Mus musculus: one gene and its partners. The protein of the gene in region 6 interacts with the protein of the main gene of each other region in a biochemical or structural test. Links are inferred from orthologs where the notes say so. Each region holds a gene or a part of one and is shown on either strand. Other genes may lie near its edges. The genes, in order: Nod2, Ikbkb, Usp4, Trim31, Tab1 and Map3k7.

What was found.
Region 1: the proteins of Map3k7 (region 6) and Nod2 form a complex in vitro, tested with the Homo sapiens proteins (2 studies listed by BioGRID). The link is inferred for Mus musculus from reciprocal best matches to the Homo sapiens genes MAP3K7 and NOD2.
Region 2: of the proteins of Map3k7 (region 6) and Ikbkb, one has a biochemical effect on the other in vitro, tested with the Homo sapiens proteins (5 studies listed by BioGRID). The link is inferred for Mus musculus from reciprocal best matches to the Homo sapiens genes MAP3K7 and IKBKB.
Region 3: of the proteins of Map3k7 (region 6) and Usp4, one has a biochemical effect on the other in vitro, tested with the Homo sapiens proteins (2 studies listed by BioGRID). The link is inferred for Mus musculus from reciprocal best matches to the Homo sapiens genes MAP3K7 and USP4.
Region 4: the proteins of Map3k7 (region 6) and Trim31 form a complex in vitro, tested with the Homo sapiens proteins (2 studies listed by BioGRID, with this or other methods). The link is inferred for Mus musculus from reciprocal best matches to the Homo sapiens genes MAP3K7 and TRIM31.
Region 5: of the proteins of Map3k7 (region 6) and Tab1, one has a biochemical effect on the other in vitro, tested with the Homo sapiens proteins (4 studies listed by BioGRID and IntAct). The link is inferred for Mus musculus from reciprocal best matches to the Homo sapiens genes MAP3K7 and TAB1.

The regions. Positions count from the first base shown.
Region 1 is NC_000074.6:88,646,178-88,650,161, forward strand, and holds the start of Nod2 (nucleotide-binding oligomerization domain-containing protein 2), read left to right. Parts: upstream 1-1,169; 5' UTR 1,170-1,232; intron 1,233-3,984. UniProt on the Homo sapiens protein: Pattern recognition receptor (PRR) that detects bacterial peptidoglycan fragments and other danger signals and plays an important role in gastrointestinal immunity.
Region 2 is NC_000074.6:22,668,577-22,672,091, forward strand, and holds part of Ikbkb (inhibitor of nuclear factor kappa-B kinase subunit beta), read right to left. Parts: intron 3,170-3,515; coding exon 3,055-3,169; intron 1,155-3,054; coding exon 1,031-1,154; intron 521-1,030; coding exon 369-520; intron 170-368; coding exon 108-169; intron 1-107.
Region 3 is NC_000075.6:108,354,326-108,357,840, reverse strand, and holds part of Usp4 (ubiquitin carboxyl-terminal hydrolase 4), read right to left. Parts: intron 1,431-3,515; coding exon 1,300-1,430; intron 1-1,299.
Region 4 is NC_000083.6:36,901,125-36,904,639, reverse strand, and holds part of Trim31 (E3 ubiquitin-protein ligase TRIM31), read right to left. Parts: intron 2,992-3,515; coding exon 2,761-2,991; intron 1-2,760.
Region 5 is NC_000081.6:80,159,677-80,162,222, forward strand, and holds the end of Tab1 (TGF-beta-activated kinase 1 and MAP3K7-binding protein 1), read left to right. Parts: intron 1-397; coding exon 398-605; 3' UTR 606-2,031; downstream 2,032-2,546. UniProt on the Homo sapiens protein: Key adapter protein that plays an essential role in JNK and NF-kappa-B activation and proinflammatory cytokines production in response to stimulation with TLRs and cytokines.
Region 6 is NC_000070.6:31,974,093-31,977,607, reverse strand, and holds part of Map3k7 (mitogen-activated protein kinase kinase kinase 7), read right to left. Parts: intron 2,786-3,515; coding exon 2,675-2,785; intron 285-2,674; coding exon 219-284; intron 1-218. UniProt on the Homo sapiens protein: Serine/threonine kinase which acts as an essential component of the MAP kinase signal transduction pathway. Plays an important role in the cascades of cellular responses evoked by changes in the environment.

The DNA of each region.
Region 1 (3,984 bases), on a different chromosome or scaffold from region 6:
CTTTGGTGCCTGAGGCCTGGGACACATCACGGTGTTGACAGGCTAGTGAATTTTTTTGTGCTTCAGTTTCTTCATCCGTAAGCCTGGGACAAGAGGAGTGCCCTACAGGTGGGGTTAAGAGACTTACTGAGAGCAGAGGCCAGCACAATACTAAGTGTCAGTTTCAGAAGGAACTCCCCAGACAGAAGGCTAAAGGGAGTATCTATTAGCATACCAAAGCACCAAAGCCTGTGGTGGCCTCCAGGCTCCCTCATAACCTGTAGCTCTCCATAGTTCTTACCCTACATCCCAACTCTAAGCTTCTCCAGCTTGTGGGCTTCCCTCCCCCAACTTCTCATTCCCATAAAACCCTGCCATTTGGCTGTGCTCTCTCTTGGCTCTCTCTCTCTCTCTCTCTCTCTCTCTCTCTCTCTTCTCCCTCTCCCCACCCCACATTGGTTGTCTCTTTCTCTTCCTCTCATGGTCATGTCCCCGCTGACCATGTTCAAGCTGCTATTTTCCCTGCTCTGGACTCTTCCAGATGCCTCCGGCTGTACCCTTCCTCATATCTACAATACAAATCTTCGGAACCTCAACCATACCTTGGAAGTGGTTTATACACAATTTCATGTCTGGGTCAATTATTCTCTCCTCTCCCTTTCTCTCTCAAATGAGAGTTCATGTACAAGTCTTTTTAGAAGTAACATTAAGAATGGGAACTAAACAACGCTGGCGAATTCCGATTAGGATGGTGGCAGAGCCCAGCCTAGGAGGCTACGTTGGAGGCAAGTGCTATTACACTTAGACCTCTTTCCTCAGCTTGCATGGGACTGACAACCAAGGGGAAAAGAGGAACTTTAAATGCCCTAACACCACCCAGCACGGCCTTCTGGGAATGCCTCCATTAAGACTGTAGCTGACTAAGGGCTTACAAATCCCTGAGAGGGTGCATCGGCTCCTACTGACACTGAGGGCTTTCCTAGCTCTTGTTCCCAGGACTCTGGTTCCCTTGTGATTGAAACCGGTCCCCAAGGGCAGAACACAAAGCACTGCAGGCAGGCCTGTTCCCGGATACCTGTCTCACCAGTCCCTAGAGGGAAATCAGGAGGGGTGTGGCCGCCCTTCCCAGCCTGCCAGAGTGGGCGGGGTCTCTGGCTAGGTGGGTGGGGCGATGGGCGGGAGTAGATCACTGAGGGAGTCCTAGTGTGGAGTCACCGCAAAACTGGCGAGGGATCCCCACGCTGCAGCTGGCGGTGAGTGCTTGCTTTCTGGTTCTGTGGTCTGCGGGTGATCGGGGTGGGTGGATATGTGGAAAGGAGGGTTTTCTCGCGGGGAGACCGAGGACTCCCGGGCAACAGCGCTTGGTTTTGTGGAGATCACGACCGTCACAAGTCCCATCGCGGGGACGCTGTTAACTGGCTCTGGAGCTGGCCTGGCTGAGCTCCTGAAAGGGACTCTGTTTCTCCTGGAAGCATCGACGGAGTAGATAGGCTGTAAAAGGAAAGGGATGTCTCGAGGGGAGCCACGGCAGGCTTTGGTAACTGAGAAGGAATAGGGTATTGGGACCAAATTGAAGCCCCCAGGATCCTTTGAAGTCTGAGGCGAGGCTGTGATTTGGAGGTGGCTGGGACAACGGAGGGGAAACTTGCAGGTGAGGTCCTTACCCAGAGGGAGAAAACCCTGCTTTGGGTCTTAGCAGGAACTATTCCTGGTTCAGTTCCCCCCACCCCCTTCTCTCTAACTTCTGTGTCTTTTTCAGAACCTGCAGGGTCCTGGCCTGGGGCAGGGACATTGGCTTTTCTGTATGTAATCTCACCCACGGTTGATACCCTGCAGGGGAAATGCCCCCTCCCTCATCTCTGCCCTCCTGAAGACCAAAGAGTCAGCCCCATTGGCTCTGGTCTGCTCAGTCTGTTGTGAGGCCTTTGGGGCTCCCAGTTTCTTGGCCACTTAATGCCAGTTGGCCTCCACATGCAGCTCCAAGCTGGCACTGGCTCCATCTTGTCCCCTCTCTCCCACCCAGGTCAGCATTGTAGGGTGGCCCAGTGAGCAGACGCTTACTGCTAACAAAGTGGCTTCTATAGCTGTTTGGCCAAAGTCTGTGCCTTGCAACTCTCTGGTTCCACAGCCACCCCCGCCCCCACGCTGTGTGGAACAAACACATCCTCAGCCCATGCAGACCCCATCTGTACACTGGGTGATGCACAGGGATATGGTGAATACATCATGCTAACACATGCCATCTCAGAGGATAGGAAGTACTGTGGGGAGAAAAAGCTGGGACAGGGCTTAGGGGCTACAGTTTTGCATAGCATAGGAAGGCACCTCTGAGAGAGTCACCACTGAGCAAAGTCTTAAGGAGGGGATTGGCAAGTCATGTGACTATCTAGGGGGAGCTAGAGAAAGCCCCCACTGTGTGTGTGTGTGTGTGTGTGTGTGTGTGTGTAGGTAGGGAGGGAGGAGCTTATAGAAGCATGACAGACCAGAGCAGGGTGTAAATGGAGGGATGAATTGGAGGGCTGGGGGTGGATGGTGGGTGGCAAGGAGGAAAGGGGTGGCATCTGAGGTCTCTTGTATTGGGCTTGAGTTCGCCATAAAAGCTTTTGGCTTTCGCTTTGACTCTGATGGGAGCCATGAACAGATAAGGCTCCTGCTCTGACTTAAGGTTTGGCAGGGTTCATCAAGTTGTGAGGCTGAGACTGCCTATGGAGGTTCATGGCAGATGAGGGAAACATGAAGGGAGGCTATAGAGCTTACATCATGGCATAGAGAGAACCTGTGGCTTTCAGATTTGGAGTCTGTTGGAGGTTGGATGGATAGTCTGTGATGCTGGAGAGAGGCAGCGTCAAGCATGACTCTGAGAGTTCGGGGCTGCCTTCGTCTGCGAGGGGAGCTGATAGGAGGGAGAGCCGGTGATTGATTTTGTATTTGTCTTTTGGAGATGTTGGTAGGTACCACATGATGTTGAATAGTGTCCAGTAACATTTCAGTCATCGTTATCTCACAGTTGGGAATTGGGCCTGTGGGCAGAGACGCATCAGTGATTTGTACTTGGGGGTGGGGTGGGGGACTAGGAATCAGCCTTGGAGGCAGAATGGATAGAAAGAGCAGCTGGGAAGCAGGGAAGAATATCAGTGAAACCCTTCATGACTTCCAGAGAAGTGCTCCAGGGAGGAAGGTGACAGAAAGAAAGGCAGAGAACAGAACAAGTGGAAATCATGGTTTGTATTCTCTCTGGTAGTGGGTGTGGGAGGGGATGAAGGAGATGGGGTGGATTTGGGAATGGCAGTTCAGGTCCAGACAAGGGAGGGCAGAAATGAAGGATGAATTGATCTGTTTGTTCTCTGATGGGAACTGGTTTCCTGGGGAGCAACTCAGACATGGGGCAGGAGAGGAGTTAGTTAGTGCTCCAGGGAGATCTTAGCCAGTCAGGACTAGGACAGCTCAGGGCTGCATTCTGCTCTCCTCTTGCTGCCTTCCTTTCTCTCCCGTCTGCTGGAGGCCTGGGGGCACTGCAAAGGGATTTCAGCCCTTGAACAAAGTCCTCAGCTAGGAACTTCAGGAACACCAGGCTACCTATGATCCTGGATAGGAAGGAAGTGCCAAGAAACAGACATGGGCCTTTGTTGATACCCTTGACCCTCTGTTTCAGAAAGGAAGTGACCCCCTTTGTTTGGGTTGCACCTTGCAGAGCCTAAGAGTGACTCCAATGTGGCACTAGCCTGGTAGAGAAGGCAAGGATGACAAAGCAGTGTGTTTAGCCTGGGGAGAGCAAGTCTGACAAGGGAGGAAGGTACAAGAACGAGATTCTGGGACTAACTAATAAAGAACTTCTTCAGCCTGTCAGGAGGACAGCTTCAAGCCCAGGTCTTCTTTTCCAGCTCTTTGGGATGAGATAGGGAGTTGGCCTTCTTAGAGGCAGAGGGCTGGCAGAATTGGTCTTTGGGGATATGTCTTGCCTTGTGTCTGCAGGAGACTGGCAAGATGGGAATTTCCAGCTTTAAT
Region 2 (3,515 bases), on a different chromosome or scaffold from region 6:
CAGTTTGACACAGCAGCTCAAGCCAGTATTGGATAAGGGAGTGGAAGATGGTAGCGCCAAGTTCCGGCCACAGCCAGAAACACAGAGCCCTGGGGTGAGTCTCCTACCCGCCCACACTGCTCCACAGCCTGCTCCATCTCCCGCCAAGCCAGCAGCAATTTATCTGAGGCTGGAAGAAAAAACAGAAAGAAGAAAAAAAAATGAAAACCAGAAACATCATAAAACTCAAACAGAAGTTAAAAACTGAACCATAAGAGGACAAAGAAGGGGGTGGGGAGAAAAAAAAGAGAGAGAAGGCAAAGAAACTTCAGAAAGAAAGAGACCGGAGAGAAGCGGCTTCCGGCTCACAGCAGGCAGAGCGCACTCACTGATCCCAAACTCGGTCTGCTCTTTATACTTCTCCAGGTCGATCTGGATGCTGGTTTTGAAGAAGTCCAGCTTGGCCTTGAGCTGCTGGGCCGTGGAGGCCATGGCGTTCTTCATCTTAGAGAGGCAGCTGTTATTCCGGAGGAGACTCATCCTGCAAGGACGGGAAGACACAGGAATGGAGCCTTGGGACACATTCGGCATCTGAGTACACTTCCTGTGTAGTAACAAAACGCTTTGCCAAGGGAGCCTCGGCTCGTCGCTTGTAGCCACCGCTGTGACCAAAGCAGCTTCCTAGAAACCCATGACGGTCTCTATCAATGTTGGAACTAGGTGAAACTCTACACCTAGGCTTTCGTCCTAATTGGAGAATCCGTCGGCAAGCTCCAGTTAACCACCATTGTTAACCCAAGGCTCACTGAGCTTCTCCAAGCTCCACGTGCCACGCAGCTGAGCCTCCCAGACCCAAGTTCTGCACTCCTGCCCCATTCTCTAAGCCCTGGCCTTAGCCAGCCCGAGGGCCTCCCTCCAGCCAGGCCACCCAACCACACCCTGTCGTCCAAACCAGAGCCCCTAAGAGTTGCTTCTGGATCCCTGCCTCAGCCACCTCTCAGGCCAACAAGCAATTTAAAACGTATTAGGTAAAGCCAGCCTGGCGCAGTACATGGCTGCTCGCTGTCCCTGCTGCAGCCGGTTACAGTCTTCCTTCAGCGTCTGGATGCTGTGCCAGACTTGGCCCCACACTTTCCTCAGCTGGAAGAAGGAGAGGTTCCGCTTGGGCTCCTGAACTGGAAACAAACAGTTGTCAGAGGGGAACGCAGCTGCAGGGAACCACATCCCGCCCTACAGCATTGCCGCGATTTTTACAAGTTATATAACTGCTATACTGCTACATCATTTTACAGGTGTTGTTGTTTGTTATTAGTTTAAACAACTCGGTGCTCCATTAGCAGAAGGGATGGCCAACGGAAAGCTCCCACGTGATTTGATGGTGATGCATGCGCACCTGTAATCCCAGCACTCGGGTGGCTGAGCCAGGAGGTCTGCTGTTCAAAGTCAGCCTGTGCTGGGGACAACGTGGAGAAAGAACCACAAGCACACGCGCCATAGATTGTCAACAGACGCTCTCACTGTCAGCACAGTTAAAGTTGTATATAGTGAGAATTCGGGGTTTTTTTTGTTTTTGTTTTTGTTGTTTTTTTTTTAAATACAGAAACATAAGAATGTTTTTGTTTTAATCCCAGGTGTGGGATGCCAGGCTGCTTCCGACTGTCCACAGCAGCTGACTATGATTTGCCTCATGATCTAGCAGGGGTGTGACTTCTGCCAGCTGCACATAGTTTTGTTTTGTTTTGAGTGTGTGAGATTTGGAATTAGGGGGACTTTTCAGAGGATATATATAAATGCTAAAGCCCCAATTGGGGGAGGAGGGAAGCTGTTGGCTGATTGGCTGGTTGGTGGTTGGTGGTTGGTTGAGGTTTGTCAAGTTGTCATGTGCAAAAAGACAAAAAGAAGAAATTAAACATCCTGTCAGGGAAGATCAAACTTGTCCCAAGGAAATCGACACTGCTAACCACCAGGAAGTAGTCTAACAATGGCATTGCCCTCTGTCCTTCTCTCCTTTTTTCTTTCCTACTCAGTGTCAGGGCTTTGGAAGGGTAGAAGAGGGCAGGAAAAGGGTCGAAGAAAGGAGAACCCATGATGTAGCCAGAAGCCCAGTACCAGTTGTATGGAGTTTTCCTGAAATATGAAAGTATATGGGATGGCTCAGTGGGTGAGACCAGAGTTCCGTCCTTGGGACTATGTGGATGAAAGTGGGAGGAGAGAACTTATTCCAAAGTTGTCCTCTGACCTCTATATGTGCACACCTCTAGTGTGTCACATACGGCCCTCAACGGTGACAAATAAGTTAATTAAGCAAGTACTTTAACATGAAGCCTGAAACCAGAAATACTAGAGATATTTAAATCATCAAGAAGCCTGGGAGATCTCGGAGACATTAGCTCTTTGGTCTGTTTACTCCAAGTATGTATCTGAGAGAAAGGGGGCTGAGAACGGGGCTAGGTTAGTAAGATGTTCACCAAACAAACATGCAGTGGAGCACCATGCAGCCCTCCAACATGAGGGAGAGGAAATGAGCGACTTGGGTGAGGAGGGACACACAGAACAGTGCATGTCTGTGTCATCGTGGTCTCTTTGAGGGGGATACCCAAGCACTTGGAAGCAGTAGTTCTACAGAAGGCAAGCCTCCTGGCTGGGGACTAGAGCCCGAGTGTTCACTTTGCCTTATGTATTCTTTTTTGGGTATCTTTTGAGGCTTTGTGTTGTTTTTGTATCATGTACCTATGTTAATGTCATTCTTGTTTATAAGCAGAGCCTCATGTAGCCCAGGCTGGTCTCGAACATCCTATGTGGCTGAGCTCCTGACCCCTCTTGCTTTTACCCTCCAATGCACATTAGTTATTGAAATATAAATGCAACCTCAAAAATGAACCACAGAAGTAGGTGGTATTTCTTAACCCTGTGCCTACCTCTAGTGAGAGGCAGTTAACCAGTACTTTGCCTGGACTATTCTCTGCACATTCCAAGTAAAGGAGGCTTTATATACTCAGAACCAAACAACCAGGAGCTCCTCCAACTTTACCCTAAATATCGCAACTGATGGGTTTTAATAAATGATGCACTTACGGATACAGCTGACACTTTCCGGTTGGGGTCGGGGGGTGATCTGAGTCTCATAGTTGATTTTACTGTTGTCAAAGAGAAAAACAAGATCCATGTCCAACGTGAGGCCCTCGTTTGTCTGCAGAGGGACAAGAAAACAATGAGACCTGGGGATCCCACCCTTCCTTTCCGGCTACTTGGTCTTAAAGCAGTTCCACTTGCACGTGGAGGGCAGCATCGTAGCCTAAGAAGCACGCGTGACTCAGCCTGCTTTCTCTCCTACCCTTTTTATCTGAACCTGCCCCTGCCTTACATCATGTTCTAGTTTACTCTGCTTGCTTCTCCTGTGACCTGAACACATCACACTTCCCTGTGCAGAGGCTGTAGCCTCCATAACTACTCCACACCTTGGGGCAGACACCATGTCACACATCGATGGCCTTAGCACAGGTGCCTGACTAGAAGAGCAAAACATGATTTTGGCA
Region 3 (3,515 bases), on a different chromosome or scaffold from region 6:
TTATGATTCCTTTCTAGTAAGAAAAGCTAGTAGCTGAGAGACAAGGCAGTGATCTCATGTGTTCTGTCCACCAAAGGCACAAAGCTGTGTGTCTCAGTGTGAGAACTTGAGAAGTTCTCCTATGCATATAAACACCTACGTTTTTACTACTCAGCAGTACAATCAGACTCATGAGCACAGGGGAAATGGCTTTAGAAAAGTTGTTAGAGGGCTGGAGAGATGGCTCAGTGGTTAAGAGCACTGACTTCTTCCAGAGGTCCTGAATTCAAATCCCAGCAACCACATGGTGGCTCACAACCATCCATAATGAGATCTGCCGCCCTCTTCTGGAGTGCCTGAAGACAACAACAGTGTACTTTAATAAATAAATAAATCTAAAAAGAAAGAAAGAAAGAAAGAAAGAAAGAAAGAAAGAAAGAAAGAAAAGAAAAGAAAAGAAAAGAAAAGAAAAGAAAAGAAAAGAAAAGAAAAGAAAAAGAAAAAGAAAAAGAGAAGTTGTTAGGTAAGCATGGTGGCTCACACTAGTTATCTCAACATCCAGGAGCCTCAATGAAAAGGCTCAAAATGGTCAAAGTTCTAGGCCTACTTGAGCTATAAGTGAGTTCAAATTTGGCCTGGTTAACTCAGTACAACACCATCTCAAAGAAAAAAAAAAGAGGGCTGGATATAGCTCAGTGCTAGGACACTCAGTGAGTCATGTATTCTATTCGGCCCTAGGTTCACTCCCAGTCCTGGGGAAAAGGAAGCGGTGCAAGGTGCAATGCATTCGATTATGTCCACACAGCCCAACTGAAGAGCTGGGTTCCAAGTACTATGGGCATTCCAAACCAGCAGGCAGCTCTTGTATTTGGAGGCCACTTAGGAACATCCTGAGTTACTCACAAATACTTCATATCCCAGAGAGAAGTAGAATAGTCATTCAGGCCAAAATTCCAGCATACAAGAGGCAGGAGATGACCAGAACAAGACCAGCCCGGGATACACAGAGATCCTGTCTCAGGAAACATAAACAAGGTCTAAAGCCTGGTACATCTTTAATCTCAGTACTTAGGGATCTCTGAGTTTGAGGCTGGTTTGGGCTACATAGAAAGTTCCAGAACTACTTACTAGTAAGGGATACTCAGAAAAACCCTGTTTCAAAAACAAAAACAAACCAAAATCCAAAAACATTACAAAGTCTCACCTGCTTCATTTTCAACCATGTAACCGTTTTCATCCTCCCGGGAAATAAAGAGAAGTCAGTGTACCCAAGGAGAACTCACATACACACCTAGCAGGTCTAACAACTTGTCAACTCACTTTTCTGACAATAGGCTGCTGGCCCTCCACACAGCCATACCAATTCAGCAATTTATTCCAGGCTTCGGCTGGGACCAGCACATAGTCCAGCTCATCGATTAAGTGCTCCTTCAAGGTCTGACTCTCAGGATCTGAAAAAGGAAATCAGGGCAGATCTCATTTTTCTTTTCCCCAGAAGTTTCTTTTTGTTTGGTTGCTTGTTTTTTGAAACAAGATTCTTATGTATTTTTCATAAGAAAAGATTCAACAGGAACAAGCACAATATTCCAAAACACTGTCACTGGCTACAAAACAAAGCAGACCTGCCCACTCTTTATCCTGAGTCTTGTTCTATGAGGAACTTGTATCTCTTCTATAATGAGAGAAAAGTGAGCTGGAGTCCGTGGTTCATCCTCATAGTCTCCACTACGCAGGAAGCTGAGGAGGAATAGGTTAAGCCCCGAAGTTCAAGGTCAGCTTGGGCAACACAGCTAGACTCCATGTCAAAAAGAACAAGGAGGAAGGATGGAGAGGAAAGGAGCCTCTCTGTTCATTTTCTTCTTCTGAAGTCAAATGTATTGAAGGTGAACATGGTGGTGCACCCTTTAATCTGAGGACTTGGGAGGCAGTGGTAGGTGGATTTTTGTGAATTTAGAGTCAGCCTGGTCTATGTAGGAGCTCCAGGACAGCCAAGGATATATAGGGGTAAAAAGTAATTCTAAAATAAAATTTATTGAGCTATATTTTAGCCATATTTTTTGCCTTTCCCCAAGCCCTCCCAAATCCCCTGCCCTACTTGCCCCCTTCTCATTTTTGTCGTCTGTTTTGAGGGTCACATGCAGTACAGCGTGACCTTGAATTCTACACAGCCAAAGATGACCTTTAATTTCTGATCTTCCTGCCTCCACTGCAGAGATGACAGGAAGGAGACTGGAGGGAAAATGAGCCGGGGAGATGGCTCAGCAGGTAAAGGTACTTGCTGCCAAATCCATGAACTTGAGTTCAATAAGAATAGGTTTTTGTTTGGCTTTGTTTTTCAAGACAGGGTTTCTCTGTGTAGCCCTGGCTGTCCTGAAGAAGAGAGTACAATGGCTAATAATTATAAATACTTATAATAGCAATCCTATTGATAGTGCTTGAACTCAGACCCCATCTACACATGAAACATTTACTAAGAAGGCAAATGAATGAGGTGCTGAGGGCTGGGAGGGGGGTGAGGGGTGGGGGTGGGTAGGGTATTTTCTTCCCAAGCAACCATGCCCACAGCCCTCAGTTCAATTCCCAGCAACCTCATGGTGGCTCACAACCATCTGTAATGGGATTTGATTCCCTCTTCTGGTGTGTCTGAAGACAGCTTCAGTGTACTCATATACATAAAACAAATAACCTTTAAAAAAAAAAAAGAGTTCTCATGGACACTGTGTGGAATGGAAAGTAAATATGTAACATGTTGAACATGCATTTTACACCCATCACAAAGGTATATGAAACACTCAGCGGAAAATCCAACAAGATTCATCACCTGTCAGCCACAAAGTGTACTCCCTGCTAAGCCTGTTTATCAACACCCACACTGAGGATGACAGAAGTCACTGATCTCAGACCAGTGTAGACAAGAAAGTACCCGTGAAGGTGCAACTCAGCTGTAACCCAAGGCAGATGATTTTTTTTTTTTTTTAAATAGAAACCAGGTGTGATAGCACACACACTTGATTCCTGCACTCAGAAGGTAGAGGCTGGTGCATCCCTGTCGAGTTCCAGACCAGCCAGGTCTATATTGTAACATCTTGTCTCAAGAAGAAAAAGCCGGGCATGGTGGCGCACGCCTTTAATCCCAGAACTCGGGAGGCAGAGGCAGGCGGATTTCTGAGTTGGCGGCCAGCCTGGTCTACAGAGTGAGTTCCAGGACAGCCAGAGCTACACAGAGAAACCCCGTCTCGAAAAACCAAAAAAAAAAAAGAAAAAAAAAGGAGAAGATGACAGGCATGGTGGTAGTATACATCTGTTAACCCTGTGCCTAGCAGACGGGACAGGAGGACCAGGTGCTGCTAGGGTGTCAGCTACAGAAGGAGTTTGAGGACTGGGAACAAGGAGGTTGGAGGTGACTCTCCTGAAGCGCTGTCTCTGACTGTCTCTGGTCTGAAGTCAGTACAGAGATGCTTGATGTAGACCTACAGTCTGACCTACTTCACGTGTACCCGGCCTAGCCTACGTCAGGCTTCAAAGCAAAACCTAAA
Region 4 (3,515 bases), on a different chromosome or scaffold from region 6:
AAATTTAAAAACCAAAGCATTGCAAATACACTTTCAGTTAAATGCCACTTTACTGGTTTAGTAGAACTAATTACATTTTACCTCCACAATTGGTACTTTGGCATCTAAATTGAAATGTACAAAAGACAAACTAGCATTCAAAGACTTAGAACCAAAAAACCACTCAAGAATATGAAATAGCTCATTAATATGTTTAAGCAGGCTGAAATGATTATATTTGAAATACTGGGTTAAATAAAATGTTTAGAATGTTTTTATTACATGTACTTTTATCTGATTTTTCTTTTGAAACAGAGTAGCTCTACTTGGCCTGGAATTCCACATGTAGACCAGGCTGACTTTGAACTCACAGAGAACTGCCTATCTCTGGCTCCCAAGTTCTGGCATTAAAGATGTGCCACTATGCATGAGTCTTTTCCCTTCCCTTTTAATGTAGCTACTAGAAATACAGATGGAAATATATTTTTATTGTATTTTGTATTTTAAGATTTATTATTTTTTAAGAATAATTATTTTTAAATATTTTATTTTTTTAATCTTTAAATTGTGTTTATATGTGTGTCTATGTGTGGGTTTGTGTGTGTGAGTGCAGGCCAGAGATATCTGGACCTGCTGGAGCTGGAGTTACAGGTGGAGGTCAGAGGAAACCTTGGGAGGTTTGGCCCTGTTCCTCCACCCTGTGGGTCTTGGGTATGGAACTTGGGTCCTCAGGTTTGATGGTTTGTCCCTTTGCACAATGAGACATTTCTCTGGCCTTGAGGTATACTTCTAAGTAACAAATGTGTCCTAGGTTATAGTTCTACACTGTGAGCTGGGTGTAATGGCACATGTTGAAATCTCAGCTCGTGATTAGGGAGTAGGAAGATTCGATGATGTCATCCATGGTTACATAACAATAACCCATTCCAGGCCACCCGGGTTGCAGGGGATCCTGTCTCAAAAACAAGAAAAAGTTCTACATTTTGTGTGACTCTCTTTCTTTTTCTTCTTTCTTTCATGTGTGTGTGTGTGTGGGGGGGGTGGTGGTGGTGGGGGGTGGTGGTAGGGATGGTGGTGGTGTGTGTGTGTCCAGGCTAGCCTTAAACTCTAGTGCTCTGGGAAGTCCTCCCAATTCTGATTTGCTAGAATTACAGGTATGAGATATTATCTTAGTTAGGGTTTCCATTGCTGTAAAGAGACACCATGACCACGGCAACTTTTATAAAGAACAACATTTAATTGGGGCTGACTTGCAGGTTGAGAGGTTCCATCCATTATCATCAAGGCAGGAGTATGGCAGTATCCAGGCAAGCCTGGCAAGGGAGGAGCTGAGAGTTCTACATCTTGATCTGAAGGCTACTAGGAGAAGACTGACTAAGGCAGCTAGGAGGATGGTCTCAAAGCCCATACCTACAGTGACACACCTACTCCAACAAAGCCACACCTTCTAGTAGCACCATTCCCTGGTCCAAACATATTCAAACCTCCACAGATAACATGCCCAGCTCTTTGAGACAGTCTAGATCTTTGCTCATGCTAGCTTTGGACTAGCAACAATCTTCTTACCTCCGCACCCTGAGTTATAGGTGGGGCTTTGGTTCTCAACCTTCCTAATGCTGTAACCCTTTAATACAGTTCTCATGTTATGGTGACTCCCACCCCATACCATAAATTATTTTCATTGCTAGTTCATAACTGTAGATTTGCTACTGTTATGAATTGTAAAATAAATATTTGATATTTCTGATGGTCTTTTGTGACTCCTGTTAAAGGGTTGTTCAACCCCCAAAAGGGGTCATGACCCACAGGTTGAGGACCTCTGGGTTAGGTGAAGAAGAACAGCAGTTGGTGGATTATTTCAGGAAAGTATGTGATTAAAAAAAAAAAAAAAAAAGCTGGGGGTGGTGGCGCACGCCTTTAATCCCAGCACTCGGGAGGCAGAGGCAGGCGGATTTCTGAGTTCGAGGCCAGCTTGGTCTACAAAGTGAGTTCCAGGACAGCCAGAGCGATAAAGAGAAACCCTGTCTCGAAAAAACCAAAAAAAAAAAAAAAAAACCCAAACAGACTTTAAAAATGAGGCTTAAGGGGCTGGAGAGATGGCTCAGAGGTTAAGAGCACTGACTGCTCTTGCAGAGGTCCTGAGTTCAGTTCCCAGCAACCACATCATGGCTCACAACTGATGCCCTCTTTGGATGTGTCTGAAGACAACTACAGTATACTTGTATTCATAATAAATAAATAAATAAATTCTTTCTTTTTTTGTTAAATGAGACTTATTAGGAGAAAGGGCCTTGGGTGGAAGAGCTATAGAAAGAAATACCACAATATGTCAGAGACAACAGAATGGAGCCTTATGGGGAAGGAGAGGCTACTCTCTGAAACCTGGTGAGGAGCTTTATCAAATGTGATACCTTAAAGTAAGAAAGATAAGGGTCATGGTTGGGATGATGGCACTGAAGGGAGTGTCAGGGAAATTTCTCTAAAGGAAAGTATCTGACTATTATATCAATTCAGGAAGCCCATAGGCTTTTTCAAAATTTAGATTTATGTAACAAAAGGCATTGAGCAGCCAGGTATTTGGAGCTGTTAGACCATAATGTAACTCAGATTCTTAACTGTCTTTTAGAAAACTGGTGTGTGTGTGTGTGTGTGTGTGTGTGAGAGAGAGAGAGAGAGAGAGAGAGAGAGAGAGAGAGAGAGAGAGAGAGAGAGAGAAATAGAGAGGGAGAGAAATAGAGAAATAGAGAGAGGAGAGAATCTATTTATTCACATAGGACTCACCTTTAGTAGCTCCATGGATGATGATTGCAGCCTTATTTTCAAGGATTTAGTGAGCTTCCTTAGAGAGTTCAGCTGCTTCTCTGTCACAGTGACATATTGTCTCAACTGCTTGGCTCCCTGCTGCTCCAGCCAGTCCAGCCTGGACAGGAGGAAACTCTCTTCCTCATCTAGTCTCTGGCGCAGGAGCTTGAATTCCTCATGGATCTTTAGTTTCTCTAGATCCACCTGGGCCTGGGGACGAAGGAGAGGATGCAGATATGAGATGACCATGAGAAGGGTCCTCCAAGCCTCCTTTAAATTCATAATTCCCATCCTTCTTTTTCTTTCTAGGCAGAGTCTCACTATAAAGCCCTAGATAGCCCAGAACTCGTTAAGTACAACAGGATAGCCCTGATTTCCACCTGCCTTTGCCTCCTAAGTGCTGGAATTAAGGGCGTGCACCACCACCTGGCACCACTCATGCTTTAAGAGTATTTAAAGATTACACTGAGACCAATTCAGAAGAGCTTCTGGGCATACCTGTTGGAAAGGGGAAGCAAAGTATTTACAGATTTAGGCCAGATGGCATGCTTTCATTTGCCTTAAGGCCACCAGCCAGATGTGCTGGTGCACAAGTAGGCAATCTCAGCACTTCAGGAGGTTAAGACCAGGCTCAACTACTTGAGCCACCATCTCCACAAAAGACAGACAATATGACCATTGAAAACCCAGGGTAAGGGTGGAGTTCAGTTGATGGAGTGGTTGCTTGGCATGGG
Region 5 (2,546 bases), on a different chromosome or scaffold from region 6:
GCTGCTGTTCCTGCCACCACCTCTGTGGATGGAAGGGCCTGGTAGACATCTGGGCATCCTGGGTAGCCGTGTGCTGTCCCCAGCACAATCAGCATAGCCCTCCCTCCCCACCAGGCTTCCCCAGGAAACCAGCAGCTGTGTCCACAAAGCCAAGCAGGCAAGCTTCACGCTTCTCAGCCTGACTGCCCGAGCCTCACAGATCTCCTCCCCTGGCGCTGAGTCTTATTCTGTCACCTAGGTCAGCCTGTCTTTAAAAACATCTCACCCAGCTGACTTCTGTAGGATACTGGGGAGAGAGAGAGAGGCCTGAGCCTAAAGGGCCGCTCTTTTCACCGGTGGGAAGTTGAGGGCCCCTGATGCAGCTCCCCCAGACTGACTGCTCTCTCTTCTTCTGTAGCCAGAGCCCCACTCTGACCCTGCAGTCCACCAACACGCACACCCAGAGCAGCAGCTCCAGCTCTGACGGGGGCCTCTTCCGCTCCAGACCGGCTCACTCACTTCCACCCGGAGAGGATGGCCGTGTGGAGCCCTATGTGGACTTTGCTGAGTTCTACCGACTCTGGAGCGTGGACCACGGCGAGCAGAGCGTGATGACGGCACCTTAGTCTAGCCTCAGAGTGCAGCCTGGGCACAACTTTGTGTAGACACAGAGGGCCAGTGCCAAAGCAAGACAAGCTTCCTGACCTTTGCGGGGGCCATGGAACCCTCGGGCAGTGAGTCATGACGTGCTGCAGGTTCAACCACAGCCCTGGGCTGTGGCCTGAGTACAGACTGCATTGCTGCTGGTCCACACAGGAGGCTGGAGTCCAGACCACAGGCATCCTAAGACAGGGCCAAGCGGGAAAGCTGCAGGTAGCTTACAAACCATCACGAGTGCCTCCTGACACGTTTAAAGACTAGCAAGATGCCGTCCTGTGGACCCCAGCTACCAAAGGCCAGACAGACACTGCTCCCTCAAGACTCCTCCACCTGCTTCAGCTTCCCCCGGAAGAGCTGTGGCCTCTGCGAGTGCCCGTTACCTCTGGGTGGCTATCCCCTTTCCACCTTTCAGCCCAAACTCCTAGATCCAGAGTAGCGAATAACAGGAGTGGGTGCCTGTCACTGGATGTCACTGGAAAAGTCCAGGGAAGCAGAGGGGTTATTAACAGCCACAGAGGAGCAAGACAAGGAAGTACCAGAGAGAGCTGGCCAAGGAATGCTAGTCCTGGGCTGCAGGTCAGCCAGCTGGCAGCTGAGCTAACTCAGAGAGCTGGCTTCCCAATGGGGTGCAGTTAGTAGGCCAGGCCCACCAGGCAGCTGCAGTTCTGCTTCTGCTAGATCCTGCCCTGGGGTGAGGCAGGCCAAGTCAGAAGCCAGTGCCTTCCTCCCAGCGGGTCCTGGGAAGCCAGTGATAGGGGGTGCTGAGGCAACAGACCTCACGCTGATGAGGAGGCTGCTTGGTTCCGGGCTCTGCCGAAAGAGGAGTGGGATACGGCTGTGAGAGGGCCGAGGTTGAGTCTTGCTCACCCAGAAGACCAAGGACATCAGGTGCAGTGATGCGGACGTGCAGGGAAAAGACTCTGCTGGTCAGGCCCTGACTGGGACCTGTTCACACAGAATCTCTCCCTTCAGACAGGAGGGTTACCACAGCTGCCTGCAGTGTGGCCACCCCTGTGCTCAGAGGAGAAAGGCTGGGTGCTCCTCTTACCTGAGCCCTTCCATCAGGATTAAATCTGCAGCCCTTTCCCCACTGTGTGCAGCTACTGGGCAGGGTGCCCAGTGTGGCCTGGTGGCAAAGGCCAATTCAGAGCACTTCTCAGACTCCATTTCCCTAAAGCGAGGCTGCTGGCTCCATGCTGAGGAGAAGCCCTGGGGTGATGGGAAGAAGAAGCCTTCCTGCTCTCCACTAGGAAGTCACCTCTGCCCTGCAGGTGCCCTGCAGGTGAGCAGCTCTCAGCTGGTGCACAAGGACATGGGACAAAGGAGGTCCTCCCCAAGGAATGTGGTGCTGTTTGGTCTCTAGAAATAGAACCATGTTCTTCATGCAGTAAAGATGTCATCTTGTCTATCTGTAACTTAAGCACCCAAAAGGTGGCTGCCTCCTGTTCTGCTCAGGAGGTTTGGGAGCCAGGCTTTCCGGACTGGTAAGTGGCAGTGCTGGGATTTGAACTCAGACCTCCTAGCTGCACACATCACTGCCCTCACCCACTGAACATGTGTTTTGCCACAAGCCTGCTGTCTGAGCTAAAGAAGGCAGTGGTATTCTGTTCTCCAGAGAGTGAGTCCAGGGATGGGGTGGGGTGGTAACTTCATGAGGCTTAGGTCACAGGTCAGGGCCCTTGCCCCTCCCCTGCCTCGCCCCCCCCCCCCAAGCTGGTTGGTTTTATTTGGTTGAAAGATCTCTTTAACATACCTCCTCTTTCTCATCTAAGGCCTTTACTCATCCATCTCTGGATCGCCTGCCTACAGGCTGAAAAGCTGTCTGCTTAGGAACAAAGCTGGGCTCTGTCCTCTATGGTCACTGGGTCCCCCACATCCTCCCCTCTGCTGGGCAGAGGCTCTTAGCA
Region 6 (3,515 bases):
ACTCAAGATAAAGGAGCACTATAAGTTGGTGTGGCCAAGGCTAATAGGTACCTGAGATGACAACACCAACATACTGTCTTGTTAGGGCTTGAAGCAAACGAAATGCAGAAAATATTTTCAGAAATAAAGCTACAGTGGAACAGATGAAAACAGCCTTATAAATCATATAAACGGACACACTTGCCACTGTTTCCTGTAGGAGATGGAGAGGGACTTACTGGATTCAGGCAGGCTCCATACAACTTGACAATGTTAGGATGGTTCACACGTGACAACTGCCGGAGCTGCAACAAATTATGGGTCCTTAAGAAGTGCTGGGTTTTCAGGTGCTATGTACCCGTGCTGTTCAAATCTTATATAGAACATTTGTTCAAATCATACCAGGTATGTTCTGTTACCACGATGGCCACAGGCAGTGGCAATCCCCAGTGCCTGTAGAATCCCTATCCTACAGTTCAAGTGGGGACACAGACATAATCAAATATATGAAGACAGAGAGATCATTAAACCATGCACAAAGTGCTGTAATGGGAGTTAAGAACAAGCCAGGATAAACTGAGGAAACCAGCTGCCAAAAGTCAAGGCACCATCTCAGTTATGGTACTGACTGAGCCACCCACACCAGAAGTGTGGTACTTTCCTACAGGTATCAATTTACTTATTCTGTATGTATTCCTGCTGCGTTCAGACTCTGAAAGATAGGACCTATTACTTCCATTTTAATATGACCCTTGAGGTTAAGCTCCAGAGAGGATAAAGCAGCTGTGAAAGATTCTATAGTCAGATTTGAGCTTCTGTTTACCTGACATGAAATACATGCTCTGTCTGAATAGTTAGTTGCCTCTAATTTCATTTCCTGTCTTGTAGTTACTGCAGAGAGCTTGGTGTGTGTGTGTGTGTGTGTGTGTGTGTGTGTGTGCGTGTGCGTGTGAGTGGAAGGGGGGGGCATTCAGTTGTGGAGCATTTGACTAGTACGCCTTAGGCTTTAGCTCCAGTCCACCATATATCCCAAGTCAATCCCCAGTACAAAAAAGTGGAGAGGAGCTTCAGGGGTAGGAGAGACAGACTGACACTCCAACTTCCGGTCTCAGCCTTCCCCAAGCCAGGAATTACACTGAGGCTGGTCCCCAGTGTAAGGTATCAAGTTTCTGCACTGTGTCTTTCTCATACAACATCATGTTGCTCCTTCTCTCTCCCTCGTCCCCCTCTTTCCCCTGCTCTCTCCTGCTTTTCTCCACAGTCCCATAACTTAACCTCTTTTTTATCATATGCCACTGGACAGTTTTCTTTATAGTTGATATTCATGGACTTTTCATCCTTAGAAAATTAGCGGACTCTTTTCTAAAATGTTATTTCATGTAACTTTTTACTATTATGTATTTATTATCTATCAACATTCCATCTTGACAAAACTCATCATTAACTTCACATAGCACATTATTCAAGCATGTTTTTCCGTTTTCTCTGAGTCTCATAAGTAGGTGAGGTTTTGTTGTTGTTTGTGAGGTAGAAACTCAGGAGGATGAAGAGACTGCAATGAGATAATAGTATACCATCTGGAAGTTGACAAGCTAGTGATGAGTAATAACTGGCCCAGCAGACCTAGAACCAAGCAATGAAAACAAGAGCAGCAACATGGTTAATTTCATAAAACCCATTATGTAGAAGAAACTCAAAACGAATAAAGCTGATGTTATAAAGGGCTTACTAACAGATTTTTCTAGGAGACAGCAACCACACAGACTAAACTTTAAGGCATTGCTGCCTCCAAAATGCCCCAAAGCTAAGTAGTCTGCTAACCAGACAGAAGGTGATGAGCTAAACTACTTTGTTATCATGTAAATGTCTGCTCACCAGGATTCACTGGCCACCCCCAAAGAACTTGCCTCTAACTGGCTGCGTAAGGGGCAGCTCAAGGTCACAGCTAAAGTTAAGTCCTGGGCTGCATAAAGCCCCCTGTTCTCTTCTTGACAAAAACATAATTCTGCCAGATGGGCAAGAAGACCCTAGATAACAACCATTTGAAAAGAAAAAACCCTGGTTATAATAATAATTCTGGCACTATGCAAATCTCTCATCTGTGTAAGTGGCCAGACTTACAGTCTCCTGACTTATATTTTTTAAAGTGTAACCCGGGGCCAGGACCTAGAAGAGATTTAAGGATGACAGAATCTGTGGAATGCATAAGCCTAAAGTGAATTAAGTTAGTAAATCTTTTATTTGAGGTTGGTCCCTCTTTGGGTGCTAGCCACAGTTGGCCACACTTTCAGTCAAGAGCTTTTTCTTATAAGTCTAAGTGTGTGGAGTAGTTTCTCACTAGAAAGGTGTTTATTTCTATAACATTCTAAGAAATTCTTAACTTTAGGTATTGGGAGGAATAATACCACTTTAAAATTAAGATAGGAAACCTTGAGATACATTTGGAACCCGTGGATAAGTGCACTTGAATTCATGGAGCGACTCTTGTAACTATACTTTCCCCTAATAACTTTTAACCAGAATTTAAAGCAAAAAAATGAAAAACATTCCTATGGAGGCACTACTTTCAGTTCAGTCAACTGCTAACGTCCATGTACACAGAAAAAAGAAAGGTGGGAAACACTGTGTTTTATAGTCTTAAGATCAGAGTAGCTCTGGTGAAGAATTAGTGGATACAAATAACGTCTCAGCTTACCTCCACAATGAAAGCCTTCCTCTCAGACTCACTTTCTATCTGTTTAATAGCGACATCTTTTGCTCTCCACTTAGCTTTGCAAACTACTCCAAAAGCTCCTCTTCCGACAACCTGAGTTAACAAACAAACAAATAGAAAACCCCCAAAAATCAGAAGCAGAGTTTAATATGATAGAGGCAGTTTTTAAGTCTCATCAAAGGTTTAGAAACCACCATTATCTGAATTTGCTAAGAATGAGTTTTTCATTAAAGTGAAGATAAAATGCAGTTTTAATCTTTGAAATGAACCTCTTAATTCTAAAGCAGAAACACAAAAAATACATGAAGACATAAGGCAATTTTTAATCACAGTAGAAAATTAAAGTAAAGATGATTGAGAAGTGGTTCAGAAAAATAAAAATGAAAAAGAACATATACTATTTAAAGAAAATAAAATCAGCTTTCAAATAACTCTAATTGGGGGTAAGAAATGGAAGGAAAAGGGCTAAAGATATATATAAAAGGCCCACTATGAAGGACACGCAAAATGTGTTACTGTCTACACAATGACCCCCACCCCAATACCTCATATTACAATGCCCATTTATAAAATGCCCAGGAGAAATCTAGGGACAGCAAGCAGGTCAGTGATTGCCTTGGGATAAGGATCAAAAAGGAATTAATGTAAACGGTATCCTGCCAAGGTGGTGATGTGTTTGAAAGTTGACTGTGATGGCTGACAACTGGGTAAATTCACAAAAATCAATAAATCACACTTCACATGGGTAAGCTTTATGATAGGTAATTAGCTTATTACTTTTAAAAAGTTATAAAAATACAGACCAACCATATGCCACATTATT